4 linked regions of the Struthio camelus genome follow. The protein of the gene in region 2 interacts with the protein of the main gene of each other region in a pairwise test. Links are inferred from orthologs where the notes say so. Each region holds a gene or a part of one and is shown on either strand. Other genes may lie near its edges. The genes, in order: TTC19, L3MBTL3, NGB and PRKAA2.

Region 1 (7,703 bases), on a different chromosome or scaffold from region 2:
TCTGCAGCAGGACAGAACAGGAGGCTTCAGAGCAGGATTCATTAAACCCTGGGGTAATGGGAGCACTACACTTATACCACTGTCACACTAGTAAAAGTAGTCTTTCCAAAGAAGCTTCAGGCAAGAAAGAAAGTGACTTTTAGATCAGCATCCTACATGCTCTTTCTTCCCAGCAGGAAGACAACCTAATTTAGTACTGCATATATGTTCAGTGCCATCAAAGTGGCTTTTAATGCTACCTTAGTTTCCTATGAGATCAGTTAGCCTTTCTTTTCCTACGAGTGCCTGCCGCTACTGCTCTACACTTCACCTGTGGATGAGTCTCTCCCTGAACATCACTTGATATCTGCAGAGCCTTCTCGTACATTTTTTGGGCCACTGGGAGCTGGTTAATGCTTAGGAGATAGCGAGCATAGCCGTCTAGGCTCATCCCCAGCAAGAGACGGGTGTTGGCTTTTTCTTCAGCTGTGAATAAGAAGAAAAGAAAGTGAACACTTCTACAAGATCAAGCACAAGTCTACATCCTACGTGCACAGGAAATTCATGCAGTGTGAAGACTGTGGATTGACAGGAGGATGGTGCTTAGGCAACATGGAAAGCAACAGCAAGGACACAAAAACAGAGGAAAGACGGTAAGTTTTTGGCAAGCAAGACAGCACCACCCTCAAGCGCTCAAGGAAGGCCCACCTGATAAGACATCCTCAGGCAAGTCCTTTTGTTTGGCAATCTTCTCCTCTAAGGTCAGGATGCAGAACTGATAGCCAGCCAGGGCTAATTTGTGCCTGCAAAGTGCAATGACTTAGCAAAGCAAGGCTCCCTCCATCCCTGAACAGAGAGATGTTAGGACCTTTGTTTCCTCATCCTACATGGCCTATAAGACAACCCTTTTCCTTCAATGCTCCCTCCTTGATCGTGGCCTGGACCTACTCCTGACCAAGGGCAAAGGGATCTAAGAGGTGGAGAGAACCCTGCTAAGACCACCCATACCAGCAGCGCTCTCTCCCTTGTAAAAACGAGGTTATCTTTCCAGCACAGGCCACACACCAACTGCATTCACAAGCTTCACTCCGGAATGCACGTCTTGTGAGGTGTGAATTTAAGGCTAGAGAGCTCTGTCCTCTATAGCTACTGCTGCCTTGAGCTGGGCTGGTAGTAACAACAGTCACTGTGCTATGTGACAAGAGCAGAAAAAGATCATGCCTGTGGCATCATGTTCATGATACCTTGCCAAATCTAAGCTTCCTTGGGCACCCTCTTCCTCAAAGGAGGAGCTTCTGCTTGACTACCACTGCAAAGCTGAGATTAAAGATGCCTTTAGTAGGGAACTCACTCTTTCTGAGCAGCATAGATACTGGCCAACTTGAGGGACATCTCAAGGATTGCATTGTCATCCTACAAAGGGAGAAGACACAACGTAACTGTTATTCTTCTTGCATCTGCACAATAGATCCATTAGTTTGTTAGGGACCAAGTTTAGATTTTGAAATGCCCATTCTGTTGTCTTCAGAGCTGCCATCCATTAAATCAAGTTTCTGAAAAGTAGGCAAGCTCATTACCATACTGCCACTTTCCAGTAGGAGGTATTATATGGCACAAGGCAAGAACCACAACTTGTGGAAGTGCGTGTAAGCATCGTCTTTCCTAAACAAGAAACAGACCACAGAACGATGCACCACACTGTTAACACTTCCAGCTGCAAGCCTCTATCAGAGCAACATACCTCCTTGGTGTCCCCAGCAAGCATATAGCTCATAGTTGCTTTGTAGAGCTTTTCTGCCTGAAATAAGAGAAGTTTAAAGAGAACATTGAGGCATGGTGGCACTTAGAAGAAAGGCTCTCTACCCTTTACAGAGGCAGACTGCTGTGGGAAACCTGTTTGACATGGTTTGTGGCGTTTGCCTTGTTTATCAAGGCCCAGCTTGCAATCAGAACTGAAATATTAGCCAGAGCCCAGTGCTAGGGCCAGCCAGCAGGCTCCTTTCTATTTCTAGTTTAGGACTCCTACCTCAGCTGCGAGTTTACCACATCTGTGTCTTTTCAGTGTTTGCTAGGCTGTCCTTGTGCCAGTTCTCTAAGTGCTCGACTGTGGCATCTGACAGCAAGACGCACTCCTTCCCTTGCTTACCACGCTGGGGCTCACAACCCAACCGCAAAAACTGGCAACTGGTCACCGTTTTTCTTGGGATTCCTGCCCCAAAGCAGCGTGTTTTGCTTCAGGCTGCGAGATTTCTGCCTCACAAGGCTCCATATGAGGCAGGCATGGCATGCAGGGCGAAGGCAAACCTCTGAGGTCTCGGGCAAGAACTGGACGAGGGTGTCAGCCCCCGAAAACTCTGACGGTGGAGGAGAGAAAGCAAGAGGAGTTACTCACGTTGTCCAGCTGTCCCTGCATGAGGGCCACGTTCGCCATCTGGAAGAGAAGGACAGCGCTGAAGCGCCCCAAAGCTGCTTCCCGCCCGCGGGGCCCCGCGCCGCCTTACCATGCTGTAGGTGTAGGCGACCGCCTTCCCGTTCCCGGCCTGGTGCGAGAGCCGCAGCGCCTGGTGCAGCACCCGCTCGGCCTCCGCCAGCTCCCCCTTCGCCACGCTGAGCTGCGGCGAGAGGACAAAACGCGGCGGCGGGTGCGGCGCTCCGGCCCAGCCCGCCGCCATGACGCGGCCGCCGCGGCGCCTCACCTTGGCCCGCTTCAGCAGCACGATAATGGCGTCCTCCTCCTCCTCCTCCTCGGCGGCCCTGGGGAACAGCGAGAGGGCTGCGCGGGGGCGCGGTGAGCACTGCCGCGCCGCGCCGCGCCGCGCTCCTCCCGCCCCACACCCGCCTCACCTCCGAGGAAACCCAGCGCCCTGCCGCACGGCCGCGCCGCCCCCCTCTGCCGCCATCCCCCGCCGCCCCGGCGGGCCGCGCCGCGCCAGGCGAGCCGGGCCGGCGGGAGCGCCGCGGGGCGGGGGCGGCGGGCGACCAGGCGGCACAGGGCGCGCGACACCGCCGCCGCCGCCAGCATCCTGCCCGCGCGGGCCCTTTAAGAGCTCGGCGGGCGCGTGACGCGGGGCGCGGGCGCAAGGGAGGCCGTGGCCTAACGGTTCCCCCAACGGCTGCCGGGGGCGGTTGCAGGCGATGGGCGGCACCTTGCCGGCCGTGGCGGAGGAGCTGCTGAGGGAGATCCGGAGGGCTGTCGAGGAGGCCTCGCACGGTGTGTAAAGGGAAGCGGAGCCGCCGCCGCGCTGCGGGGAGGCGAGGCGAGGCGAGGCGAGGCGGCGCCGCCCGGGGCTAGAGCAAGGCGGGCGCGGCCTTGACAAGGAGGCCTAGGGCAGCCCTGCTCGGCGAGAGCTTGGGCGTGTTCGGGGCGATGACTGAAGGCTTTTTTTTTTAACCCATGGCTTTGGCCTCTCCCCGCTGAGCTCTTTGCCTGCTCAGGAGTTTCAAAACTAGAACTGGAAGGAAAACCCGGATTAAAAAAGGGTAACGTTCTCCGAGCTGACCGGCAGGGGGGGGTGTGCTCGCCGTCTCTGGCTACGAGCACCTTCCCTGGTGCTGAACGAGGAGAGCCTAAGCCAACAAGCAAATCTCGGCCAATTCTAGCAGCTAGTTAAGAACAGCTTCTTTCATTGCACTCGGGGTTATTAACATAGTTCTGTAACTCGCGCTGAAAGAATATTATTGTTCATGTTCACTTGGTAAGTAGTGCATAATGGTTCTTCATAAGGGAATAAAATAGTCTAAATACTTTTGCCGGCACTAAAAACAACCAAACGTACAGCGAAACCTGTTGAGTACTACGTTTGTGCGAGGAAGGGATGCCGGCGTAACATCTAAACTGCCCGAGTGACCACCTTGACAGTGTTTTGGTGTACTTGCGCCATGCATAGTGGCAGGTTAGGATAGATCGAAAATCTACGCGTCACTTTTTAAAAGAACTCTGTAAATCCTGTTGTAAACTGGAAAAAAAGATCAATGTTACTTTTAAGCTACACTTCTCTCTAAAGCGCTAGGACAGTACGCTGCGCTATAACCAGGGAATGAAGCTGCTCGGCTGGAGAATTAAATTAGATGAAAGTTGGAAGAGTCAAACCGACAGCATAAGTCACAGAGAATATTTTGAATTGTTAGAAGGAAGGATTTTAAAGTCAAAAGTCCCAGTCTTCCAGCAGAATACAAATAGTACGCTGTGTCCCATTAGCGGTAACGAAAAGATCAGATTAGCTAATTGTAGCCTAACTTATTAGTTAAAACAAACAGACTATTTTTCTTAATGTAATTTTCCATCTTAACAAGAAGTTCTGCTAAATTGAGACATTATGTTTCTGTATATTAAAAGCTATAAACTAGCAATGCCCTGGAAGACTATGTTGGGAAAAGAACAACATTGTTAGTTTTGATGCCGCAGAGTTCTCAACTCCTGCCAAGAGTGTTTCAGGGAAACCAATATATATATTTTTAACTGGCTTCTTAAAGCTGCAGAGCAAGTTGTTCAGGATGCATGTCTATTTGCATGCTTTTAAAAGCAAGATATTATAAAAGTAGTGTATTTGGGCTTCTGCATTTCTTTTTAAAATTAACCCCCATGGCTCTGAATGTATATGTAATATATATTTAATTGCCATACTTCATAAATGCCTTTTGTATAAGCAGTCGCATTGAAAGTGCATAGCTTATACTTGGAAGGTTTTCTGAGTCTTAGAAGAAATTGAATTTATGATTTATTTTAAAAGGATTGAGGAAACCTCAGTTGCTGTATTAACTGCATAGAACATCGCTTTGGGCTGAGCGCGGGTACGTGTTAGAGCGGAGATTAGGTACAAGGAGGGGGCTGGAGCCATGTGGCAAGTGTCGGACTCAGCCTGGGGAAAGGCAGTGCTGTTGTGAAAAGAGGATCCAGGCCTAGGTCAGGGGTGGGAGGTCCAGGACTGGAACTGAGGGGTGGGCGGTCTCATGGGGATAGCTTGGCACTTGACTCTTCTCAGTTTTGGTGCAATTCACGCAGCAAGGAATTAAGAGGAAAAACAACAACATTGCCTGACTGTTTGTTGTTCTTGCATATCTCTGGGTTTTGTGGAACCTGAGCTGTTCTGGTGGGTGTGCTCAGAGATGGAGCTCCCGCTGTGAAAGGTGGGGGAAGCAAACTCCCATCCACTGCCAGGTCTCCTTTCCCTGACACTGTCATGACTGAAATTTTCTGCCCTAGCGAATGATTTTGCTGCACCTTGTTGCACTTTTGGTGGCTAGCAAGGATGGCTTAGAGCACAGCAGGGTGCAATCTTGTGTGGCCTCTGGGGGCAGATTAGGAAGACTCTAGCCTCCCTGTGAGGCTGATGGCTAAGTCTCTCACACTGGGGGAGTTCAGCAAAATCACACTTCGTTTTGTTTTTGTTACAGTTCCTGATGACTTGCTCCTGGGGTAAGTATCTTTTGGTTTAGTTCTTGTCCCAAGTGTTCTGCTAAAGGACAGTTGATAATCTGCTCTCATCATAGTACTGCTGAGTTTTTTTGTTTGTTTGTTTTTTTGCTGTGTTTGACTAGTACATGTTTCTCATGCGTTGTTGCTAAATGCTTTTGCTGGTAGGGGGAGTGGCTGTCCAAAACGACTTATCTCAAGAGTTTTTCCAAAGATTCATGATAATTCATGAAATTATCTCTGTATCACTGAATCTCCAGTGATGATTTGCTCTAATTTGGGATGGATTAGACATGCAGAAACCCAGAATGTTTCAGCTGAGCTCTGAGTCCACTCTCAGACCTGGAACAAGTTTTCTGTGAAAGCAGGCTGTGTTTCAAATGACTCATGCCACTGGAACACTGCATCTCCACTGCCTTCATATTGTGTCACCTTGAAGATTACCCTGAGAGTTTTCTTCTGTTTTGAGGAAATTTCAGGTCAGCTTCATTGCCCTTGCATTGACTGAAGTTTGGGAATACGTCAGTCATACCCAAGAATTGCCTCCTCCCAAGAGATCTGAGTGTTGTAACTTCTGCAGCCCTCACTGATCAGTGGCAGTGGCAGAGAAAAGGTACTGTCACTGTGATAAAGGCTTTTCACTTTCGTCTTCAGCTTTGTGTCCCTGCCTGCCTGTAATTTAGGCAAGAGAGGAGGTCACCAGGAACCTTTCGGGCCTCAATATCTAAAGTAACACAACATAGCACTCTCTACCTGTGAAAGGTATGCATGCTGGCTCCCTCTTCTGGGACCATTGCGACCCTTAAATGGTGAGATTGTATTTGACAAGTCTCATAACTTTTTGTTTCCTTCTTGTCATAAAATAAAAGAGTAGGAGAGAAATTCCCTTGTTAAGTTTAGTAATGGTTGGGTGGTAACACTTGGCAGTCGGATTGCCATCAATTCTCTGTGACCAGGGGCTCAGAAGTGTTCTCATTTCATTTCTGAATCTCTTCCAAATCTCTCCAGCCCTTGAATTTCCTTTGGGCATTCCCCTTACTTATTTCCTGTTAGACTGGTCAAACTATATACATGAAAAAAGAATTCCCCAAATTGGAAAGAGTTACTGAAACTCATTAGACTCAGCCCTCTTGTAGTCCCAAACCTAATCATTAAGGAATGTCTTACACTGAGTGTTCCCCCACCCACCTCTCAGTCCATCAGATGAATCCCTATCGCCTTGAGTTTTTGCCACTTAAGTTTTGGTCTTCCTGGAATAAGTCTGTCTGCTTGGCTTGTTATCAATGAGATTGACTCAGACACACAGGTCAACCGTACTGCTGCGACACCAGGGCTCTGTCTTAGCTCTGTCTGTCTTGACTGGAGTTGGAAATGTTCCTCTGCTTTCTCTTGTTCGTGTTTTGAAATATCCTTTCATCACTGCTGATTTCCTGGTTGTTTACCTTTGTAACTAATCTAGACTACACAGATTTTTCTCAGTGGATAAAAGAGTAAAGATTATCTCTGTTACCCCTGAGCTCTTTGAAAGACATGCGAAGCGGCAGGATGTACAGATATAGAATAACTTTTAAGCCTAAGAACTGTCTGGACAATAGGGTAAAGGTTGAGGTCTCCATATTTGACATATAATTTAGCATATACCCTTGCATGGCATCATCAGCAGATACAATCCTTCTTGAACTATTCTGGTAGCAGGATCAGAGATGTAAAACTATGGCTATCCAGTTGCTCCACATGCAGTGGAGCATCAGCAGTGTTTCCCCGATGGCCATTAGCTTCTGATTACTGCACTTTGGAGGGTAGAGAAGGTTAATTTATACCTCAGTTGTGACGGTGATCCAGAAGACATGATCACTCTAAAATGACACATTTGTGCCCCGGGGTATAAACCAGTTTTCCCTGGGACGAGAAAGTAGCCTTACTGCTGCATTTCCTACTGCCCAAGGAGTTGTCTGTCACCATTTCTCTCTCCTTGCTCTGAGGAATGACGTGTTGGCCATGACTAGAGGTGGGATTCCAGACCAAATGGATCAATAATCTGATGTGGGGCAACTCATCCAGGACAGTCTGTTGGTACAGCTAAGGTGTCCCAGAGCACAATCCCTTTTCTCTCTTACCGTTAGCAACTCCGTCTCCATGTTCTCTTGTTTTCCTGGTGCAGCCCCTGCTGAAATCCCTGTTTATGCACATTGCCCTCATGTGACAGTTTCACAGTGTTTGCTGCAACAGCGATCACTGGGCTACATGTGTGACGCTGCCTGTTGATAGTAACACCTGTTGGAGCCCTAGCACTGTGCATACCCCAGAATCT
Region 2 (7,263 bases):
TAAGGAGAGATCTTACTGCTGCCTTTAACTACTCTAGTGGTAGGTTATAAAGAGGATGGAGCCAGTTCTTCTTGGAGGTGCAATGTAAAAGGACAAGAGGCAACCAACTCAAGTTGCAAAAGAGGAAATTCCAATTAAGTAACAACAGAAAGAAGAATTTCACTATGAGATTGGTCAAACTCTGGAACAGGCTGCCCAGAGAGTTTGTGCAATCTCTATTGCTGGAGATAACCAAACCTTTACAGGACCTGGCTCTGAGCAACTTGATCTAAATTGGCCCTGTTCTAAGTGAGGGCCAGACTGGATGGTCTCCTGCTGTCCTTTCCAAAAAAAATTATTCTGTGATTTTATTCTATGATTCTGTGACTCTAAAAAAGACACTTGCAATGTATCTGTCCTGTATTTTAAACATTTCTTGATTCTTCACTTCAACAACATAAATTGTATTAGGCACTAAGGTATATAAAAGTTCCTTAAGAACTACAATTCTTTTTAAAAGAATTTGTGAGATTTTATTTAAAAATTAAACTATGAAAAGAGTCTATCAGTGTTAATATAAATAGAATTATACGAAAATATTGACTTTAACCAACGAGAAATAAGTGCAAGAAAGTCTCCAATATCGAAGCTGCGTTTTTACTTAAAACAGCTGAATACCTTCTGAGGACACTGTAAAAAAGTATCAGATAAATAAACAGTTTATTTTAAAACATCAATATATGTATTACTTTAATATCTGTGGGTGCTTTAAGACACCCACATGACAAAGGTACAGAAAAATAAACTATTCTTAGAAAAAAAAAAGTACTATGAACATGAGACTTAAGTGTCAGTGACTGTAAAAAATTTTTAGTTAGTATTATACTTTAAGAGGACTGATTTTACACACTAACTTCTGAGACGTCTTGGATTTTGTGCACTTGATTACTTCTGTCCTAATAGTGAGGCAGTGCTCGTTTATGCCTTCCTACGGGAATGACTGTTGTCTTTGCCAGCACCAGAAACTGAATCAAGAAACTCCAGAGCTAAAAGCTAACAGGCTACAGTTTCTTAACTCAGAGCTGCATGTTTTATTCATAAAAGCAGATACCTACACACCAACTTGTAATACATTCTTTTGGCATATAAAGTTGTTATTTCACTTATTAAGAAGTTACGTATCTTACCTTTAGATCACTTCCTGGCAAAGTACCTATCCCATCTTTCCAGTCCATAGCACTAAATACATCAAACTCTTGTCCATTCCCACTAGAGGCAGATTCATTCATGATGCATGTACTAAAAAGAAAAAAAAAAAAAATATATATATATATATAAAGGCTTTACCTGTAAATTAAAGTAGTTTAATGCTCAAATCACTGGACATTTCTTCAAATGCACTTTGAAATGCATAGACTAGTATCAAATCCCTCAACACACTTACAATGTACAGAACTATGCTGATAATAAAAACTAATGTAATAAAACAACAGCAAGTCTTTGAAAAACGTAGAAAATAGTATCTACTTTATACACTACTTATTAATGAGCTGAACTGAAGAGAAATAAATAATTTCAAGCTGCAAAAAGATTGACGTTGGGCAAACACATCCTAGAAATATGTAAGAAAAACATATTCTAGGGAATGAAAGGCATAAACACATGCCTATAATAAACATCGTAAGAACTGATTAAAATAACTGGTTTCCCTTAATATCTGGTAACATACTTCATTCCAGTCCAAATTAAAATTTCAAATTGAATTTGAAAGTCCTTCACTTTCATTGTCTGACTCAGAACATACAAATACTCCTTGTCTGTCACCATATAGGCTCACCAAATATTCGTTATTTATTTCTAAAATGTATTTACATATAGACAAGCATATACACACCAGAGAAACAGCTGTTTTGGAAGACTTTATTTTACTGTATCCTTCTGTTTCACTGCAGTGAAAGCAGAGCAGAAAATATTTGTTTACCATTAGAAATAGTAGACTTGGACCTCCTTCTCTGTTGTAAGAATTTATCTCCAATCATTTGCACAAGCAATACAATTATACAACTCCTGTCACTATCACAAATACGACATCAGTTGTGCTGAACTGTAAATGTTTTTAGCAGCCATTTGTGACTATTGCTAAGTTCTTCCTTTCTACTTTTTACAAACCCAGAGATCTTTAAATTTGTGGGCTGGCACCTAATTTAGTATTTATTCAACATGAAGTTTGACTCAATTATTTTCCTTGTTAAGGACTGCTGTGCTACACCTAACAGTTGAAAAGCTTATTTCACCAAAAGCTTATTTCTTTTGAAATTTACACTTTTTGAACTTTTTCAACAAATACTTTCCAAGCCTCATACTCAGCCTGCAGACCGCTTGCAAACTTTGGCTGCAAGTATCAGTATTTGAAATTCAAACAGGCAGGCAGTTTCCCCAGCTGTTTGACCCCAGTTTCTAAAATCTAATTTTTTATCTCTAAAAATTCTACCCACAAAACCTACTCTCTGCAAATATTTGTTAATATTCTCTCAATATCTGGAATTTCCACAAAAAAGATTAAGTGAAATGCGTTCACTGTATTACTCGCAGATGATAGAAAAAGATGCAACCCCAGCAGAAGTAAACTCAGATCTACCAGAGGCTTCTGACTTAAAGTTTGAGGAGAAAACACTTAATTATTAACTGTTGTGTGAAAAATATTCAACTTTCTATTTTTGCAGTAGAAAAATTATAGCCATCAATTGAACATTATAGATAGACATTACTCTCATTTTGTGTTTGCAGTGTGAACTCCTTTATATTTCTGCATGATTTCTTCTTCATTTATAGCAGAATTCTAAAGTTTTTACCACCCTGAGCAACACCTTAATCCACTAGTACTTTTGTTACAATACAGCCCCTATACCTTGTCAACAACATGACAGAAGCAGGACCTCAATCAGTAACCACTGCTGACGGTGAAGGCTTCTGCATTCCTCTTCATTTTGTATGACAGGTCGGGTTCAGAGATGGAGAAAATAGCTACCTGTGCCTACAGGAGTTTTTTTTTTTTTTTACAAAACTTTATAGACGTCACAAAACAAATTTGAAGAAGAACAAAACTGAATGAGTCTTTTCTATCTCTAATTTTAGTTCTTTTCTATCTCTAATTTTAGTTTTTCTCTGTGTGAACATATTGAAAACCCTACCACCAATGTACAAAAATTCACTTTTAATATATCAATAAATCTAAATAAATTTAGGGTAAATTGAAAAACTCTCAAACCCATACAACTCACCGTCTAAAATCCCTCCCAAGCAAAATGCATCACTCCAGCTTATAGCACCTCCTGAAATTCAACCTGGACAATCTCTATTTGACTTAAGAAAGTAGCACACTTGAGCTCTAGACCGTCCTAAGAATCCAGTCTTCAGCACTATAATATACCAACCTAAGCAGGCTTACACCGAACTAAACTGCAACATCATGGCAGAGATGTAGGCATCCTCTCAGAAACACAAGACCTACCTCAACTGCTATGGACTAGCTGAAAAATTGGATTTACCCAGAAATCCATGAAATTTTAAGGACATAAAAGATGCTGTTTAAGCACACTGGTGTAATGTGTTCCTCATGAGTAGTCTGGCTAAGCAAACACAAAGCTTCACTCTGTATTAACTAAAGTTTCTAAGTAATCTTAAATTACCATCCCATTTAAAGAACACTGCACTCAACTATGCTGTGGTGTATTTATTACAGAAAACGTTCTAATGGCTTCTGCTCTGCAGAAAGAATGACCAAAAAATGGGAAGAGACTTTGAAGACTGTGGGGAAACGCTTTCTTGCAGTGGTCGCTGTCCCACAGAGCGAGAAGCAGCAGACAGCCGCTATATCACATTCTGGAGTTTCTGATAGAGCTTCTCTCATCATATAAACATTTTGTAACAGAATCACTTGCCAAAAAATGATGGGGGATGGGGGAAACTTACAGCCTAGACTACTTACGCAGGATGTAAACTGTGAAAGTCAAAATAAAATACTAATAATAGAACCGTACCGTGCACATTTCTCTCAAGAAAACCATAGAAATTTTAACTTAATTGCACCTAAGAAAGCTTTCATCGGGTAATAATGAGTAGCAATGGTGTATTCTGTTGTTTGACAAGGTACTCTTGTTTTTTTTCTAAAATTAAACTCAATATTAAAGGCACAATCTGTACTTTCACCTACTGGTCCTCTTTGCAGCCTTCCAAACTGTTCTGTGTAGGGATGAAAAGGTAATGGGGCAATACAGATTGAAGTGAATTTACCCAAAGCTGCCACATTTAACAAAGTACCAGTTTCCAGCTTTGCTGAGTTTGAACAGATGAAAGATCAAGGTTGATAGGTCTATATCCCACTGCTAAGGACAATGAGGAGGAAGAAGCAGACCAATTAAATCACTATAGCAATGAGGAATTAAAAAAGGATGAAAGCATTACAGTATCTACATCTAAATCACAGAACAAAGAAAACTACGGAATGCCTTATCTACTCATTTCCACTTTCATCTTTAAAGCTCTGGTGTGGTTCTCTGAACTAGTATAACTGAACTCCTTTTATAATAACGCCTCTTGCTATCATACACAACTCTAGGAACGTAGTAAAAATACTGAATTAATATGGGGAGTACTACTACAATACTGTACCTATGCCTATCACTGAATGCCATCTGATGTGAAGGTAAGGACACAAAATAAGAACGTGGAACATTCATATTCCAAAAGCCTCATCCAAAATCCACTATTAGGGACATAACTGTATCTCAGTCTTCCCAGCCATAAGCTGTAACATATATAGAGGAGTGTTTTAAAGCTGTGTGCTGCGTTTTCATGTTTCAACATTAACCTTGTTTTAGACATATTTAATAAATGTCTTAAAATAAACAAGCTTATGAAAGAAGATTAGACGCATCCTTTAGAAAACCATTCATTTTTACCAACTGGCTCAACAATAAGTGAATACTTCACAGAACTGATACTTAACGAGAATAACAGCATTAAAAATTAGATAATTTAATCTGGTGGAAGATTCTCTATTTAAAGACTTAAAGCTAAGAAATAGAAGAGAATATGCCAACTAAACCTACAAGTATTTTTTGAAATAATTACAGGGTTATGTACTAAGTATGTCAAAAAGTAATAATAGAAGGATTTTTTCTTTCAGTCAGGGCTTTAAAAAATTACCTGACACCTACCTAAGTTTTGAAAATCTAAGATGCCATCTATGACGTGTGCAAGGTAGTAGTACATACAATTTCTCACCAGAACGTGCCCAATTCAATACGGGGTCACTCAACAGCAAAGAGAGGAGATTTCAAAAGTAAAGCCCTTAGACAGTACTACTGGATCAGCAGAATCCATCTGTGAATAAGCATGTGCACTCCTTTTTGCATTCGTGTGTACTTTTATTTTATTTTTTAGGATTCCTGAAACCACCGTGACAGGAGTGCCCAGTAGATTCGTTCCAGGAGAGAACAAGCCTGTGCCTGCTCCCTTCCCCAACTAACAACTCTTGCTAGAAAAGAGAAAAATAGGACAAACAGAGCCAGAAGTGGTCTAAACAAACGGTGCAAGGTGTGAAATGAGAGCATCAAATATGGGAGGTGATGTCCTCAGACATCCTAGCGATGTTCCCTGTTCCTCAAAGACACCCATGGAGCTGGGAGATGCCAGTGCTGAGAGATGTTCAGAAACAAAGGAACAAGAGTAGGCCCCAGCCCAGCTTTTTGTCCTAACGTTGCTCATAGCTGTTTTGGTCAGGTCCAAGAAGGAGACTGCTTAGTGTAGTATCTGCAGATATCTACAGATAGGTGGGACATTTATAACACATAGGGAAAATGAAGTGGATCAGATGGGGGCAATTCAGTGTATCAGAGCAGCAAATAGAGTGCTCTAACTTCTAGACAGTAGACGGATGGATGCTCATTTTCATTTTTATTCCCTTTATCACAGAATAAAGTGAAAAATATCAGGGCTGAATCATTATACCCCCAAGCCACACAAAGGAGAATTATCCTTCGCAACCTAAGCTCCCTTTTCTGTTTTAGACAGACTTTGTATTAAGCTAGGTTCATCATGACACTGAAGGCAAAGCAAAACTTAAGCCAACTGTTGTGCAGAACGGCGGTACAAGGAAAAAGACTTACTTGCTATTCACTGTAAAGCTATCATGGTGAGTCCAGCTTTCCTTCCCACAATCATCTGGTTTGAGCTGAGTATACTGCACACTTGCCTCTCTCTTCCATTTAATCTTTTTGCAGCTGATTCTTTACTTGAAGAAGACAACCACAGTGCAGAAACTGGTAACATGCTTTGAGGCCATCCACCACATTTTAATATGCACATTGTTTTATACCTATTTAATAATATATTTTTATCGTAAGAAGTATCTGCAGATCACACATTTCCTTTCAAATTTCATTATTCATACTGTAGTTTAAAAAATATTTTACCAGATTTGCCATTTTTCTATTCTGTGCACTCAAGAGCTGTTTGAGCAACGTCAATTTCACTACTTTGCCTGTTACTCACAAAGTTTATTACAAAATAGTTATTTTAAAGATAAGATATATAGGTTGGCATTGTAGTCACAAAGGACCTAAATTTAAAATTCTTCACCATTCTTAACACGTGTAGCAGTAAACGAACCAGACTTCCTACTGATGATATGCCTTTAATATTATTTCTTCTTATTTTAGCTGTTGCTACTCGTTTCTCTGCTAGATTCTCCAGGGGCACTGCATACGTCTGTTCCTGCTTTCCAGTAGATCAGCTTAAAGTTTTTTTCCTCATACACGGAATCTGTTCTTTGATAACAGTAATTCTGCACTAGTGCTTGAGAAGCCTTATGATGCTTTCACCTGAATCTGGTCTCTGCCGGTAAGCTAACACTGGTATTGCTGGACCACTGCTAGGAACTGGGTAACATTTACAAAGTTACCCACAGCCTTCATCTACTACGTCATTTTCAAATATCCACAGAAAACTCTAATAACAATAATTATCCAATTCCAAAGCTATCCGACTCATCTAATGAAATTTATCACTGACAACTTCTGTCTTGTCACAAAGAACTTGTACCTCGCTTAGAAAAAATACTTCCTCTGCAGTCCACTTTAATGACTTGCGTATTCTGTTAGCACCTGTGCAGTTCTGAATTCAGATTTAAGTTAATCAGACAGTAAGACCTGAGTAAACAACCCTGATATCCCATTTCTTAGTTTCTCTTAATGCTTTGAACCAGGCACAGAAAGTCACAGA
Region 3 (7,954 bases), on a different chromosome or scaffold from region 2:
TTACAGCTTTTATGATCCCAGGACAACTGCTGGGCAGTCCAGGACAGATTCCCCCTGAGAGATGGAGAGAGGATGCTGTGAACACTGGTCAATCATAGGGCAACTAGAAGTTGCCAAGACACTGCAATTGCGAGTAAGGCAATTGCAATTCTAAGATCAACTGAGGCATTTTGAGAAGATGGGTTGGGTAGTACATCCAAGAGACCTTGTCCGGAAAAGCGGGTACCACTGTGGTTTCCCAGGAGCATGACGAGCCAAATGGGAACAGGGTGGAGAAGAGTTAATGAGGGATGAAGGGAAAAGAGAGGATCCGTTTAAGAGAAGAGATTAAAGCCGGTGGCATGGTTAGCCTGACAAAGCCAAGGGGCAATAGAGTTGTGCTCTATAATTTCAACAGGGAAATTATCTCCAACAAGAGCAAAAAGCAATTCAGCTCAAGGCAACAATGGCAGAAGTAAAAATGGACCTAACTTGGCTGATAAACAGAGGCTGGAAAATAGTAAAGAGCTTGTAGCTATCAGAGGAGAACAGTACTGAAACAGCCTCTTACAAGGAATAAAGACAGGCAGGGCACTGAACTGGCTTAAAGATGAAGCGTATGGAGGCATTTCCATGCCAAGGCTGTGCTCTGCCCCAATGTGGCTACATTTCAGGACTCAGCAAAGGGGTTCTGCTGCACTGGGTATAATTCTTTCTGTATACGAGCTCCTGCAAGATCAGCATTGCTCCTCTCTCCTTGTTTCAGGGGGAGGCAAATGCATATCACAGTACTGCCTCAGCAGCCAGACAAGAGGTCCTGTGGGCCCTCTGACTCTGCAGCTGCACCAAGAGCCCCTCCAGAAGCAGTGGCTCCACAGGAGCCTTGCCCACTGCCCAACTCTGTGTAACCTCCTGCTCAGCGTGTGGCCAAACAGAGGACTTCAGTCCTCCTCTTTGCAGGAGTGAGCTCACACATGAACACGTGGTAGAAGAAGAAAGTAGCTTCCAGTGTCCACAAGAGGGCATGGAGGGGTCAGCGTGGTGCTCTTATCCAGCACAACCCACATCCTCATTCCCTCCCCACTGTTTTTAGGCACTTTGTCCTGGCACTAACACCTCCTGCTACTGCAAGAAATTTCCTGCAGTTGCCGTTGCAGGACAAGACTTCCCATGTGTTCCCCAGAGTCAGATATCCAATAGCCCAGAATCATTGCCTGAAGAGCTTCCTCCTTCATGGGGGGTCTGTGCTCCAGCCATGCCATGGCCCCCTCTCACCTTCCTAATGTGATCCAGGAACTCAGGGGCAGAGAGGCACTCCTGAGGGCTGGCAAACTGCTTGCAGTTGTACTGGAAGAGGGGCAACAGGTCAGGGTCCAGATCAAACAACCTGCAACAGTGAGAGAGAAATCCCCATCTTCTCACTTCCTCAACTTTCTTTTCAGAATCCCCCTCACCCAGGGCACAACCCTGTCACCAACATGCCCACAGCCCTCCTCTGCCTCCCTTTTCACTAGCTGATCCTTCTCCACCTGGGAAGGACACAGAAGTTCTGAAGAGTCTTAGCTTGGGGCAATCCAGGTTATCAATAGTCAAAAAAGTCTCAATTTTGGGCATGGTGTTCTCTGATGCATTTATGGCACCTGAGGATCAGTCCTAGACCACTGGAGTTCTTCCCAGCCTGGCCCTGCTCCTCAAAATCCTGTTTGTCACCTTGACTCTTCCTATTCACACTTCATGATCCCCTTGAGTCCCAAGGCTGTCAAATCTGGGGAAGGCCTGCAAGATTTCCAATTTCAGCAAGGCAGGATGTGCAACCCCAGCTAACATCCCACTCTCCCACAGCATTACCAGCTCTCAGTTTATTTCCTCTTGATCTGCTCTGCCAGCATATGCTGTGCACATATGGGTCTCAGTAGGAGCTACCCAGGCAGATCGAATGGGCTGGTGTCATCCTTGGAGGCCATGGGAAATTCAAACAAGATAATCTGTCTCTTTTCTCCCTCATTTTCTGCACATTAAACTACCACGTCCCTCGCTCCTCTGCCAAAACTTTCAAACATTGCTCTCATTGGTCATAGTTTTGCTGTGCAAGGTTTGCCTCGTGTCTGCAATGCCCCTTTCCAGGAGCTGCTCTTAGACTGTGCTTTTTAAATGACTTTTCATGGATTTTTCATTTTCTCTTCCCATAATTGAGACATTAATCTGCTTAGGGGAGAGAAGGAGTTGGGTTTCAGATGTTGCCCCTGGCACACCACTTCCTCTGCTCTAGGACTGACTCTCTCCCCGGTGGCCAGGTCTCTGCCTGGATGTGGAGACTGCCATGTCACAGACAATTAAGAAGTCGCTCTGATAAAGCCCACAGAGTTGAGCAGACATGCAGCTCTTCAAACAGAAATACCTTCCCCGGTGACAACGAGGGGGATCAATGCACAGAAAAGCACAAAACCTGCCTGCTGGCTCCTTCCTTCGCTCTCCATCTTCTCCATTTCCCCATAACAAAGTTCTGAAGTGCACGGGGCTGGAGGGCAAGGGGCCGAGAAGCGCCGCAGAGCAGAGGACCTTCCCCACGCCCACAGCAGCTGAAGCTAAACGTTAGAGGGGCTTCATCACTGCGCTTCCCCCTCCTGACTGCAAACGCCAACCAGAGGGACAGCGGACCGCGTAACAGAGCCAGTAGGGAGCCATTACCAAGCAAAGGGAGATGTTTCCAAGAAGCAGAGCCCGTCCGCCCCCCTGCCACCCGCCGGGCCGGTGCGGGAGATCAGCCCGGGGCTGGGACGCCTGCGCCGGCCCCCGTGCTGCCCCGGGCCGCCTGTTGCTCCGGCCGCCCGTCGCTCACCTGCTGAACAGGACCGTGCCGTGCTGCACAGGGTCGCCCCTCACTCGCTGCCAGCTCTCTCGGATCAGAGCTTGTTGCGTGCGAGACAGCGCTCCGCTCTCCATGGCAGGGGGCAGGCGGAGCGGGGCGCGCAGCCGGGTAGACCTTCCCGCTCCTGCCCGAGGTCCCTGCACCAGCCCCGGCGCCGGGAGCCGCACGCCCCCTCGCTCCGCCGGGGCCCCCCCCGCCGCCGCCGCCGCCCCGTCACATCCCCGGCGGGCGCCGCTCTCACCTGCGCGCCGCGCAGCCGGGTCCGCCCCGGCCCGCGCAGCGCCGAGCGCGCCGGGCTGCGGAGCGGGGCCCCGCGGGCGGCTGCCTCGTGCCGCCCGGCGGAGCCAGCTCCGCGGCACCGCCTCCCCTGCCCCGCGGGGGCGGCGCCGCAGCGGCGAGGCTGGCTGCCCCCGGGCGCTCAAGGGGACGGCGCCCTCCTCCTCCTCCCCCCCCCCCCCTCCACGCAGGGCTTTTAAACCGCCTCACGGAGCTCCTGTATTTCCCACACAGCGAGGATGTTAAAATAATAATAAATCCCCAAACGCCAACCCCAGGACTTTCAGCCTCAAGGCAGAGTAGAAAATTTAGCTTATTTATGGTTGACATTTTCTGATCAGCCTAATTTTACAAAGTAAAAAGCACAGCAAAGCAATGCTAGCGAGGAGGCAGGGACCCAGCATGTCCACTAACTCTTCAGCATAGCTGTCTCCAAGGGTAACTTTGCTTTAGAGGTCTTCAGTGACAGGCTAGAGCTACAGCATCTTCTTGCTCCCTGCTGCCACCTGCTATCTCCATGGGCAGGTGTAGTCTAGACATTGCAACATCTATATATAATTTAAGGGGATTTAAGCCAGCTGAACCAGACAAAGCTATTAGTAAGAGCCCAGAAGACATTTCATGTGTGTCAAACATGTTCAGGGTGCCAACGTGTCTTTACTGTCCAGATGAAGGGAAATATTGCTTTTAGTCTCGTCCAGGGATTTCGACAGTGTGGAGGAAACTTAAGAGAGGGAGCAACCGAGGTCTCAAGCAGCACAACAGAAACTACCAGAAGCAGTCATGCAAGCTGAGGTTTTCAGAAGCATGCGAGCAGCACAGAAGCACAAATGTTTCTGAAATAACAATTGTGCTGATCTTACTGCAAATTTTGGTACTATACACAAGACTCACTTCTTGTAATTAGGAGCGAAGATGGAAAACCGGGAACCAAATTCAGAGTAGGCAGCAATGAGGGTCTTCGCTTTGGAGCGCTTAAGTTCATCCCTGACAGTAGGCAAGTTCAAGGCCACAGTGCTATATTATCAGCCCCAGCCTTGTCTTGTCTCCCATGGGCCTTTCTCCAAAAGGGCCAGTTCTCCATCAGTCTAATCAGTCTGCTTGTAGTGATAGCAGGAGACTGGACCTTTGAGATCGCTATTGTCTCCTGTAAATTCCCATGCTCAATATCATCATCCTTCAGATCATGGCAGGTGTGTTCAGGAAACATTTTCACTGTTGATCAGTGATGACTGCATCAGGTGTGATAGATGAGATAGTGCATTGCATCAGAGCTGCTCAGTCAAACTTGCAGATAAGACAGTGGGAGAAGGAAAGTAACATGGATGTAAATGACTGTGGCTTTTTTCTGAGCTTCTCCGTCCCTTTGCTGCTACTCCGAGCATCACTACAGGAGAACAACTCTGCTCCAGACCTGCTGTATGTGGGCACGGGACACCGTCCTTTGTGTGCAGCACAAGACACACAACACCCAGCCCAGATGGATCCAGGTTCTGGTCTCACACCAGCTCCTTGCTACACCTATGGCTTTCTTTTGGCTCCAGCACGATCAGATGTAGGGCAACCAGCAGAACTGCCTGTACTGAAGGATGAAGGTATGTGGCGAATGGGCTGAACATTGCAAAAACCAGACCAGTGCATCTATTGAAAACAAAAGAAAGTCAATGTGCCCCATTGCCAGCAATTTTCTCATCCGTTCTTCCTAATCTGGTATTCCCACTCCATATTGCAGCTCTGAGTCACTCCCTCTGCAAGCAAGCAGGACCCCAGAGCAGTACTTGGGCAGCAGGCTGCTTATTCACAAACTCTCCCTCTTTCCTCCAAACCTCTACTCAGCCCCCACTGGGAAAAATAGCACCCATGGTCCTCCCCACAGGTGGTAACCAGTGAGGCTCAAGTCTCCCGCAGAGCCTGAGCTCAATGCTAAGCATCCTGCTGAGATCAGGCCTGGCATTTTCAGCTGAGAACAGGAAGCCAAAACACTTTTCCAGGTAAGGCAAGATGGTCAGAATCACTGATCGCTGTTAAAAATACAGCATTTTAGCTCTCACAATAACTAAGACGAGTCTGAAAAAATATGATCTCTACACATGTACATTCTTGGAAAACAGAGGATAAATAACAAGTATTCAACGTTAAAGAAGTCATGGACTGCAAGGCAGTATCATTTTGGAGGCTTGGCTAGGGTTTGAAACATGCAAGTTGACAACATTCAGTGCTGCCTGCTGTTGGCCACCATCTCCTGATCCACAACAAGCTCACACTAAAATCAGTCTCCAGGCTGTATGGTTGCAAAGAAGACATTCACAACAGGAACCAAAGGTAAATCAGTGCAGTGATACCTGCTGAAGCTGGAGGGAGTCTGAAAGAGCAGCTAGCAGAGAAGTGGGAAATACCAGGTTAATCTAAGCAGGGAGACCAACACAAGCCCAGCAATGGCAAAGCAAAAACTAACCTTTAGCTATCTTATGGCTGATCAAGCACTTAAGCAAAAAACATGAAGTGTCATCCTATCTGCATCTGTACAAACCTCTCAGAATGACATTTCAGCTTGTCGTCACAATCACATAGCCATGTTGATTTACCAGAGCCTGGCTGAACATTTCAACCTGACTCTACTAATAAGAAACGAGAGCAGAACAGCAAGGCAGCACTGTGCTGACAGAACGCTATAAAGGAGAGTGGAGAGCCCTAACTAGATGTACGGTGCCAATAAATAGATTCAAAGGATATACATGCAATCAGAGTAGCAACCTAGGCTGAATATTTGCCTAGCAACATTTTGGATATATTCAGAGCTGAATGAAAGGAGAGGAAGAGAAGCACAACAGAAGTGGGTTATTGTAGTAAAAATGAACAGATCCTGAATATGAGCAAGATGGATACAAAAAGTGCACACACACCCTGGAGATGCAGCAGATGAAGATGGATGAAACAGGGAGACAGTATAGTGATTCTTCCTAAAGCTTAGCTAGGACCTGGGATGCCTTCCTTTGGGTCCATGCAGGTATCGTACCAGGTATCATTATCCCAGGCCAGCAACCAAATGCAGGTTTAGCTGCTGCTCCTGATGGAAAGGATATCTTAGACAATAGCAATGAAGCCATAGGGAAATTATGGCTTTTGTCCAAAGTTTTGCCAACCCCACCCACACTTTTCCTTCATGCTGCAGATGGTGGCTGCCTGCTCGCACACACAGACAAGACACAAACGCCAGAATGGACCAGCCGCTAATGGCTGTGGCAAAACTGCTGAGCGTGACCTGACGACTTCTTCCATGGACTGATATAAGGGCAACGGGGGTGATACCCCTGCCTGCCTCTTGGCACTCACCACCCACACTGGTGTTAAGCTCAGCAGAGGCTGAGAGCTGGAGAGAATTAATTCTTTCCCTATCCCTCAGCAACAGGGGTTGGGCCTCCAGGCAGGGTACAGGGACATTTAGGGGCAGTTTCCTTGCCCCTCTGCATGGGTAATCCATTCTTTCATTGCCTTCTGTCATTTCTGCTTGTTTTTCTCAACTTAACAAAAAAAAAACCAGCAGTTTTATTTTTCTGTGACAGAGCAGGTCATCTAAGTAAAGGAGGAGGGAGCTGTAAGGAGGGATTTGAGGTGGGAGACAAAAAGAGCTCTTGGGTAAGAAACATCTGAAAACCATTCATGTGACTTAAAAGAGCAAGGGCTCAGGAGATGCAGTGCTCTTCCCTGCATGCAAAACAGCTTCTCCCTTGCAGCTGTGTCTCTGTCAGAGGAGTTCTTCCTGCTGCTATGGCACTGAGGTGTAGTCCAGGGAGGATGTGAAGTACAAGGAAAAGCAAACAAGCAAAGCTCTCTTCTTGTTCAAGTGTTTAGCAAGCCTTCAGATGTGAAGAAGCATCCAGGATGCATCAAGGAGTTGGGCACTGTGAAAGCTTCCATAGTCTGTTGGTTTCCCTCAGTGGTCTCCAACTCCTCTGGCTCCACATATCTAGCCCGGTAGCTCAGTTCTTTTCTGAAGTATTCTTGGATTTCTGCAAGACTTTCCCTGGAGCTGTCAGGAGCAAAGAGGAACCAGGTCACCAGCACAGACTGTTCCAAAATCATCTTTAGGCCTTTTGGAGACAGGGAAGGTAGATTGCCAGTGAAGCTCAATGACCAGCAAAGAAAGAAAGAAAGATAATAAAGATTTAGAAGAAAATAAATGTATAATGTTACCTGGCAGAAGCTCTAATTATTCTAATCTACAGCCCCTTCAAATTACATTTTCAACAACACTCAACTCCCCTTGCCAAGTGTGTGCTTTGCTTATTCAGCACCTCAGTTTACCCACTGGGAAATAAACTTTTCCAATTTCACAGCACAGAATAATAGAATTGGGAATAACCCCACAAACACCATTCCCCAACCCTGCACACAGGGTTCAGGGCAGTCGGCGTACATAATTCCCTCCCAGTGGGCATCACATCAGCCTGGCCTAGGGAGGACTGTTTTGCCCATGCTGCTGTGACACTGTCAGTTTTCATCTCACTTGCTATACTAACAAAAACTAATCTCCCCGTGGATTCTTGTTCATTTCCAGTTCTACTTCTGCAAGTCCTCATGAATAATGCCACTCTGATCTAGCTACATCACGCTCCCTTCTCACCTTGGGGCCAGCTTCCTGAGCTTGGCTCATCCCTTTCTCCCCCTTGCCTCCAGTCTCCGTTTGTTAGAAACTGCAGACCATGAGAGCTCCTCTTCTCCCTGTACTCCCTGCCCCCATCCTCAGGTGGGAACAGACCTCAGGCAACATTCCCACCAGTTTCTAAGCTACCCCCTCAGGATGCAATGCTGCACAGCTCAGTAGCGAAG
Region 4 (7,447 bases), on a different chromosome or scaffold from region 2:
ACAAGTTTGAGGGCGCAGGGCGAGAACTTTTTTCCTATCAATCAGCTGCCTATTCCAGCCCTTATCGTAGCCCTAAGTTAAACATGAAATCAAGGGAAAGCATATATTTAGCAAAGCTGTATTAATTCTGTCCCACTGCCATTTGCTTAAACCTTATATCATCCTTCCCTTCATCTGTTTGGTCTCTTTAAATTTATTATCCCTGGTTGTCCGTCAGTAGCAATTATATAGTGCCTTGGAAAAGGGGATCTGACCCTGCTCAAGCCCAAAGGTACCAAAATAATAACCAACGCACACATATCACCAAAGAAATATAGGCCCTTGAGGGACCACAAAATTGATCACCTTGGTGACCAGCAAGCGTGGGGACAGAAACCACCAAGTGGCCACCCAGGACTTCATGCGTGATACCACATGAAAAAATATTTGCATTACTCAGCTGTATTTTGATTGAAACTCTCAAAGCAGCAACCACCATGAACTCCATCGTGCAACCTCTGTGGTCGCAGGGAGAGCAATGGGGTGGGATATGCCTAAGGAAAACACAGGAGCAATTTATCTCATCCGTTCTTAATCTCACCATGCTAACGAGTGAGGTACCACCCTCTTCCTTCCATGCTTCACTCAATGTAAAAGCCAAGAGAATTCCCTTACAGCCACCTGAATTTTATTTCCTGCAAGTTAATCTCCAAAATCCTGCTCTCATCTACCAGGTGCTTTGCTCTCCTCGCCTTGCATGTGCCAGCGCCAGCACTTGCGTGGTCTCCCCCTGCAAGAGGGTCGCAATGACTTTTTCTGTAGCAGCTCTGGTTTCTGATGGCTTCAAGTGACTACTCAGCTACAGCCACAAATTCAAGCTGTGGTTAGTACAGCAATTTCACAACCCCCTTCCTCCCTGCTTCTAATGCCATTTTCTTTTTCCTTAATGACTGTAATCTAATTTATGATTTCTTAACTTTGGAGGGTGAGGCAGGAAACCCTGCTTCTCACAAAGTCTAGTGCGAGCCAGAGTTTGAAGAAAAAACAGCAGCAAAAAAAAAAAAAAAGTAACTGATGGCATCTCCCTCCATAGTTAAAAAATCCAACAGGCAGAATCTCTTTGTTTTGTTTCACGTTTCCTGCTAAACAGGATGAATTCAGGGTATTCTAATGCTGTTTTGATTAAGATGCTATAATGCCATATAAACAGCAGATCTAGTTTCTTCATCTAAGTTTCCAGTCTCAAGTCCAAATTTCGTCTGTCAAACGCAGACTGATGTTACAGGCAACATGCTGAGGAAAAGAATATATATGTGTATAGGGTACCACTTAACCATAACTGATTTTGAGTTAGGAAATCTCCTTTATTTTAAATGTCTCTTTGGAAACTGTCAGGTTTTACAAAAATCGGGCTATATACAGCGTGTGCGTGGTGTTCATGCTAGCTAGTTGAGAAAGGTAGCTAAGAGAAAAGGCTACTGTTGGCAGGCTTAACTTGTTCTGTAGGGGGAAAAAATTGCCTTTGGAGCACTTTTGGAGCTCTGCTCGTACACATGAGTGATTTACATGGTCCTCACTGTTAGAAGTATTTATTCTGATAATTCTTTAGGCAGTGGATTTGTGGGTTTAGATGAAACAGAGTAATATATTTTTAGGGGTCTGATTAATGGTCACGGGTGGATTTAGCTCCAGTGGTGGAGGTGGCTCCTCTCCCCTGCTGTCAGTTTTGGTTTATTTTAATGCCGCAGTCCCTGAGCGTGTGCACATCACCCGTTTGACCAGCCACAGGATGCCGCCGGTAACTCCAGCAGCAGGGCAGGGTGCACAGCGGAGGGTGGTAGCTGCTCTGCCAGCCGTACCTAAATCATCAGTCACAGCTCTTTGTTTTGCTTAGATGCAAGTTTTGTACAGTATCTTTGATTTTTTTAACTTGGTTCAAAGGTAACAGTTGCATGCAACAGAATTAAATAGAAAAAGAAATACAAATCTTTGCAAATCTTCCAGTCAGGTAAAGTAAAGCTGGTGCTTTACGTGAAAATGAGAGTTGTCTCCTTGCTGGCGTGAACCACGCGGGAAACCCTGTGTGTGAATGAAGCCTGACCCAAGTTCTCCACCGCTCCTGCCTCAGGCCTTGTCTCCCCCTGCCCCGTGAGAGTGGCTTCCCGCGCTCCCAGCAAGGCTGTTGGCTTCCCAGGGCGAGAGGTACCGCGACAGCAGAAGAAACCCCTTCTGCTCCCGGTTCCTGCCACCCGCCCGGCTGCGAAGCGCTTGTCCCCCCTTTCCCAAAACCAGCAGAGCGGCCCCAGAGGGATGGGGACGCGCGGGCTCCTGCCCGAGGCGCGCGCTGCCGCTCATCCTTTGCGTCCATCACCCTGCCGCGAAGAAGGAAAGTTTGCAGGGGTGTGAGGCAGGCGCTCGGGGGGACGAGGAGGGCAGCAGCTCGCAGGGACCGTCCGGCCGCTCGAGGGAGAGCGCGGGTGCCGCCCGCGAGCCCCGCACCCCGTCTGCCCCGGCAGAAGCGTCCTGCGCTCGGCGCGTGCCACGAGCCCCCGCGGCCGAGGGGCTGCGCGCCCCGCGGGATGCTCCGTGCCCCGCGGGATGCTGCGCGCCCCGCGGGACGGGCCGGGCCGGGCCGGGCCGCGGCCGCCGAGCGCGCTCCGCGCTGCGCCCGCCGCCCCGGAGAGCCGCGCGCGCAGGCCGCGCCGAGGCGCGGAGCGGGGCCGCGCACCGCGCCGGCAGGCGGCGGCGGAGGAGCCGGGCCCGCGGGTGCGTGCGCGGAGCGGCCCCCGGGGAGGGGAGCGGGGAAAGAGGGCGGGGGGGGGGGAGCCGCGGAGGGGGCGCGGAGCCAGCGCTCCCCCCCCCTCCCCGCGCCGCGCCGCCCGCCCTGCCCACCGCGGCCGCGGTACTCAGCTCTTGACTTTGCCGAAGGTGCCGACCCCCAGGGTGTCGCCCAGCACGTAGTGGCCGATCTTCACCCGCCCGTCGTGCTTCTGCTTCTCGGCCATGTTCGCCCCCCGCGGCCGGACCACAATGCACAGGGCCGGCCGGGCGCGGTGCGGCGCGGCGGCGGCGGCGGGGCGGGCGCAGCGGGGCGCCGCGAGGCCACGGTGGGGGGCGGCGGCGGCCTCCTCGGGGGGCACCTGCCGTGGGGGGTGACATCTACCGGGGGTGACACCCTTCCGGGAGTGACACCTGCCTTGGGGGTGATGCTCTCCTCCCGGAGGGGTGGGGGGGATGCCCTCCGTACCGTGCGCTCTCCGTGGGATGGTCCCTCCTTAGGGCACACCTGGCTCTGGGTGGCGGCCAGCTTGGGGTGCACCTGCCCAGGGTGACACCCTCCTGGGAGTGACAGCCAGGGTGATGCTCTCCTAGGGCTGTGTCCTCCTTCTGGTGCACCCTGCTTGGGACGATCCCTCCTAAAGGCACACCCAGCTGGGGATGGTAGCGAGCTTGGGGTGTATCTGCCTGGGGTGGCACCCTCCTGGGAGTGACACACCCCTGAGGGTGACATGCTCCTTGGGGTGTATCTGCCTGGGGTGACACCCTCCTGGGAGTGACACACCCCTGAGGGTGACATGCTCCTTGGGGTGCATCTGCCTGGGGTGACACCCTCCTGGGAGTGACACACCCCTGAGGGTGACATGCTCCTTGGGGTGCACCTGCCCAGGGTTCGGGATGGGGCCTTAGGGCTGGAGAGCCTGCCCACCTAGGAGGGATGTCGTGGGGTGGGGGCATGGTGCAGCTCCTGCCCTGTGGGGCCCAGCCCCAGTTCTGGCGGGAGATGAGGTGGGAGGGTGGACAGGGCTGGTCACAGCGCAATAATGGGGATGGTGATGGGATGAGGGACACTGGACACGTGGTGGCAGGACTGGGCAGGCTGGCAAAATTCAGCGTTGGAGCAGTTGGATGGCAGCGTGGTGCTGAGTGCAGAGCAGTGGTGGTGCCAGGTCTCGGGACCCTGCCGCATTGAGGCAGGACGATGGACCTGTGGATGTCTCCATGCTGCCTTTCACCTGTCTGCAAGCAGCGGAGCTTGAGCACACGTGAGTGTGTTCACACGAGCGTGGCTGGGACCGGCTGCGTTTGGGTTGGTGGTAGCACTACCACCCCGGGCAGCTGTCAGGCGTTGCATTGCGTGGTGGTGGTCAATAAGTGGTACTCGCTTGGCAAAGCAGACACAGGAGCTTTCTTGTTGGTCAAAACTATATTAACATAAAGGAGCAAAACAGGTTCAAGGGGAAGGACACATCGATACATTGATAGCTGGTGCGGCCAGCTGAAACCATCTATACCTGCTCACAGCGCTTCCCTCTTCGCAGCTCCCCTACACGGACACCAAAGCTGGCCTTTGGGTCACCACCTTCTCTGTCTCCCTTTTTGCTTTTCTTCTCCTCCGCCGTTATGTTCTGTTCATGTCAGCTGTTTCTCATTAGTTGCATCTTTGCATTCTTCCCCACTCTGAAATTACCTTCTGACCACCCCCAGGTCCTTCCTGGAGCCCTTCTTCTCCTCATCTTGACTGGGAAGCCCATTCTGGTTTTCTCCTTCCCCTCACCTCCCTCTTCCCAGGCACTCCGGCAGGGGCAGGTCTCCAAGGGAAGTGGTTGGTGTGAGGGGCTGGTCGGGGGCTCTACTCCAAGTGGCTGTAGCCGGGCTTGGCGCCCGCATGCCCCTTCGGGACTGCCCCGTGTTTCTCACTCAGGCTTCTGGGGGAGGACTCTGGCTGGGGAACTCCAAACCCACGCCGTATTGTGGACCCACGTGCAGTAAGTGAGGCCGACCGGGAGCCTCGTTCCAACCTTGCACTTAAACCTTACTGTAGACACATGCTGCGAGTTGCTCGGGGCAGACGTAACAAATGTTCCCGTGAGCTAACAGCTCGTCCTAATACCAGCGTTATCCATTCTTTATCGTTCAGCCCTGCGACAGCCTGCAGTCAGATAGGGTAATGCTATACATTAAATAATAACACAGCTGCTCTAGGCAGGCTACCTTTTCTCTCTAGAATTTCTACCTTGTTAGAAATGTAGTCTGGAAAAAAAATATGTGAAGCGAACACCCGCTTAGTGATCCCAACTCTCCTCTCTAATGAACGTTTCCTCCTTTTCACTCATCAAGACAACTGCAACCCAGAAAAGAAAACTCTCGCCATGCTCCGCAGCACCAGAGCTTGGCAAGCAGCCGGCACAGGAGCTTTCGGCATAAGGGGCTGGCATGAGGCCACAGCTGGTGTCACATCCCTGGTGCTGGGGCAGGCAGGCCATCGGCAAAGGCCGAGCAGGGGCTCTGGATCTCCGGGCCGGAGCAAATTGGAGCCGTTCCCCTGCTCAGAGGGTGTAAGGTTGCAGGGCTCAACCTGAAGCACCAGCACCAGGGAGCTGTGCTGGGTGAGGGGTTTAACTGTTTGTGTAGGAGCTCAAACCTGTTTCTCCTCCAAGCAATCGTCTGCTTGACATTTTCAGATGAAAGTCCAGAAAGTTGATTAAGCAAATCTGGACATTCTCCATAATCTTCTAAACAGGGCATATGAACTTTGCCTGGGCCGCACAAACAGATCGTGTTGAAAAACATGCATGCTCATCCTAACCACGCAGCATGTTTGAACACTAGTCTTTTAAACCTATTTGGAGAGTAGTATTGTTTTAATAGTGCTAATTCCGATTTCTTCAATATTAAACTTTCTCATTCAGTCACAAGAAATAGCAGAAGGCAGGCGCGAAGGCAATCCACACTGTGAAACAGCGAGGAGATATTTGGGAAGTCAGAATGGGAAGCTGTATAAACAAAAGATACCTGATAAAATAATGACGAGCCTATGCAGCTATACCATGGTAAATAATCAGAAGATGATTTAATTCAACAGATCCAATAATACAAATAACAGTGGCAGAGTAGAAACAAGAAAGCTGATATAATACAAAACCATATGTACTGTAATGAAACCACATCTGTTTAATCAGAGTGATAGACCTACAATAAAGCATAAGAGAAACAGCACTTAAAAATAACATTAGTGTTTTCTTGTCTAAAGCTTACTGTCTCCTGCAAAGCCTATGAAAATGCTGTCGTCTTTAGGCACCTGGGTAAGTATGGGTCTGTGCAAGTCTGCACCTTGCAAAAGCCTCCAGCAGCTCTTTCCTGTCTTTGCGCACAGGAGTCCGTGCGGCTTGTCCGATCTGTTTGCTTCCAGCCTTGGCAAGCCCTGGCTTTGCCCTAGTGGAGCACCGCAACAAATAGGTGAGGTCTCACATGGTATTTCTTGACCTCCTTTTATATTTGAACGGAGCTGCTGTATGTAAATGTGCTATGTTACCCCTTGCTCATTGCCTAAAAGCTGGTGACTAAATCACCCCACGGACGTGCCTCATGGTGCATCATGAGCATTTCTGCAACCCATTCCCCACCTACCAGTTAATGCAGCCGTACGCTGTGTGCAGTTAATACAGCGCAGTCCCCACATCTGCAGTGTCATTTGTCTGCGAAACACGCTCATATATATACCTTAACCCTTCCTTAGCATTTTTTACACTGCTGGAAAACACACTCTATACTAGAGTATAGCCTGAGTAACCAGGCTGATACAACCTGGTCAAAGCCCAGCAGCGAGGAGCTTCCTTGGTACGCACCAGCTACTTCTTTACCTTGTTACTCAGTAATCCATTATGCACACAGAAGTTGTTTAATAGAAATGTTGAATTAAGATTGTGCAATCAATTTTTTTTTAATTTAAAGGCTATATTTTGTGTGTTTAAGGTTGTATTTGTGTGTGCGACTGTATAGATACATATGTAGATATATCTCGTGCCCCAGTGGGGAAGGGAGGTGTGTTGCTAGCAGCACGGCAACAGGCACGAGATGAAGGGTCTCGAGTAAAACGTGTGAGGTGGGAGAAGTGTTGCTAGGAGATGCAGACTCCAGTGTCTGGCGAAGCAGCATTTTTATTTTTGGTGTAGATCAAATGAAATGTCATTTGACTGCGAAGCAGGATAGAAATCTCTTCCCCTTGCTTGCCTTCATCTCGGTGAATGATCCGTCCGTGCCTGGTGGTGTTGCAGCTTGTTTAAAATAGAAATCAAATGCAAGCTGGGTGCTGTTAATTAAATGCTAATGTAACCATGCCTCCTAGGAGCATCCCAGTTAAAGAGTGTATCTGAGCTGCAATTTCTTTGCAATCCCTTGGGCTTTTATTTATTTATTTTATAATTATTTTTTTCCCTCCACTCTTGGACAAATCCCTTGCTGAAGCAGCGGGATATATGTATGTCTCAGTGTGTTTGGGACAGAGCTACAAAGCCTCACGCATGTGAAATGCCTCCTGTGCAGGGCTTGCTCTCTGCCCTCGTTTCGTGATGCTGAGTAGGGGTGTGATTTCTCGGTCCTGCCGGAGCTGAGCTTCTGGGCAAGTCCCAACGCAGCAGGAGAGGGAAACTCTCCTGCACTGGGGAGCAATTAGACCGCACCTTTAGGA

Evidence for each region.
Region 1: the proteins of L3MBTL3 (region 2) and TTC19 interact in binary tests that used the Homo sapiens proteins (3 or more experiments, as listed by UniProt). The two-hybrid records come from large-scale screens. The link is inferred for Struthio camelus from reciprocal best matches to the Homo sapiens genes L3MBTL3 and TTC19.
Region 3: the proteins of L3MBTL3 (region 2) and NGB interact in binary tests that used the Homo sapiens proteins (3 or more experiments, as listed by UniProt). The two-hybrid records come from large-scale screens. The link is inferred for Struthio camelus from reciprocal best matches to the Homo sapiens genes L3MBTL3 and NGB.
Region 4: the proteins of L3MBTL3 (region 2) and PRKAA2 interact in binary tests that used the Homo sapiens proteins (3 or more experiments, as listed by UniProt). The two-hybrid records come from large-scale screens. The link is inferred for Struthio camelus from reciprocal best matches to the Homo sapiens genes L3MBTL3 and PRKAA2.

The regions. Positions count from the first base shown.
Region 1 is NC_090957.1:17,543,689-17,551,391, reverse strand, and holds the start of TTC19 (tetratricopeptide repeat protein 19, mitochondrial), read right to left. Parts: upstream 3,017-7,703; 5' UTR 3,002-3,016; coding exon 2,824-3,001; intron 2,753-2,823; coding exon 2,676-2,752; exon of another isoform or gene 2,652-2,675; coding exon of another isoform or gene 2,592-2,651; coding exon 2,481-2,591; intron 2,411-2,480; coding exon 2,372-2,410; intron 1,778-2,371; coding exon 1,721-1,777; intron 1,393-1,720; coding exon 1,331-1,392; intron 783-1,330; coding exon 688-782; intron 466-687; coding exon 311-465; intron 2-310; coding exon 1-1. Other genes in the region: ZSWIM7 (zinc finger SWIM domain-containing protein 7), read left to right, coding at 3,115-3,190, 5,374-5,395. UniProt on the Homo sapiens protein: Required for the preservation of the structural and functional integrity of mitochondrial respiratory complex III by allowing the physiological turnover of the Rieske protein UQCRFS1.
Region 2 is NC_090944.1:70,676,652-70,683,914, reverse strand, and holds the start of L3MBTL3 (lethal(3)malignant brain tumor-like protein 3), read right to left. Parts: upstream 3,013-7,263; 5' UTR 2,902-3,012; coding exon 2,888-2,901; intron 1,279-2,887; coding exon 1,167-1,278; intron 1-1,166. UniProt on the Homo sapiens protein: Is a negative regulator of Notch target genes expression, required for RBPJ-mediated transcriptional repression. It recruits KDM1A to Notch-responsive elements and promotes KDM1A-mediated H3K4me demethylation.
Region 3 is NC_090946.1:59,044,231-59,052,184, forward strand, and holds the start of NGB (neuroglobin), read right to left. Parts: upstream 3,015-7,954; 5' UTR 2,923-3,014; coding exon 2,819-2,922; intron 1,367-2,818; coding exon 1,255-1,366; intron 1-1,254. UniProt on the Homo sapiens protein: Monomeric globin with a bis-histidyl six-coordinate heme-iron atom through which it can bind dioxygen, carbon monoxide and nitric oxide.
Region 4 is NC_090949.1:33,363,825-33,371,271, reverse strand, and holds the start of PRKAA2 (5'-AMP-activated protein kinase catalytic subunit alpha-2), read right to left. Parts: upstream 3,008-7,447; 5' UTR 2,985-3,007; coding exon 2,891-2,984; intron 1,762-2,890; exon of another isoform or gene 1-1,761. UniProt on the Homo sapiens protein: Catalytic subunit of AMP-activated protein kinase (AMPK), an energy sensor protein kinase that plays a key role in regulating cellular energy metabolism.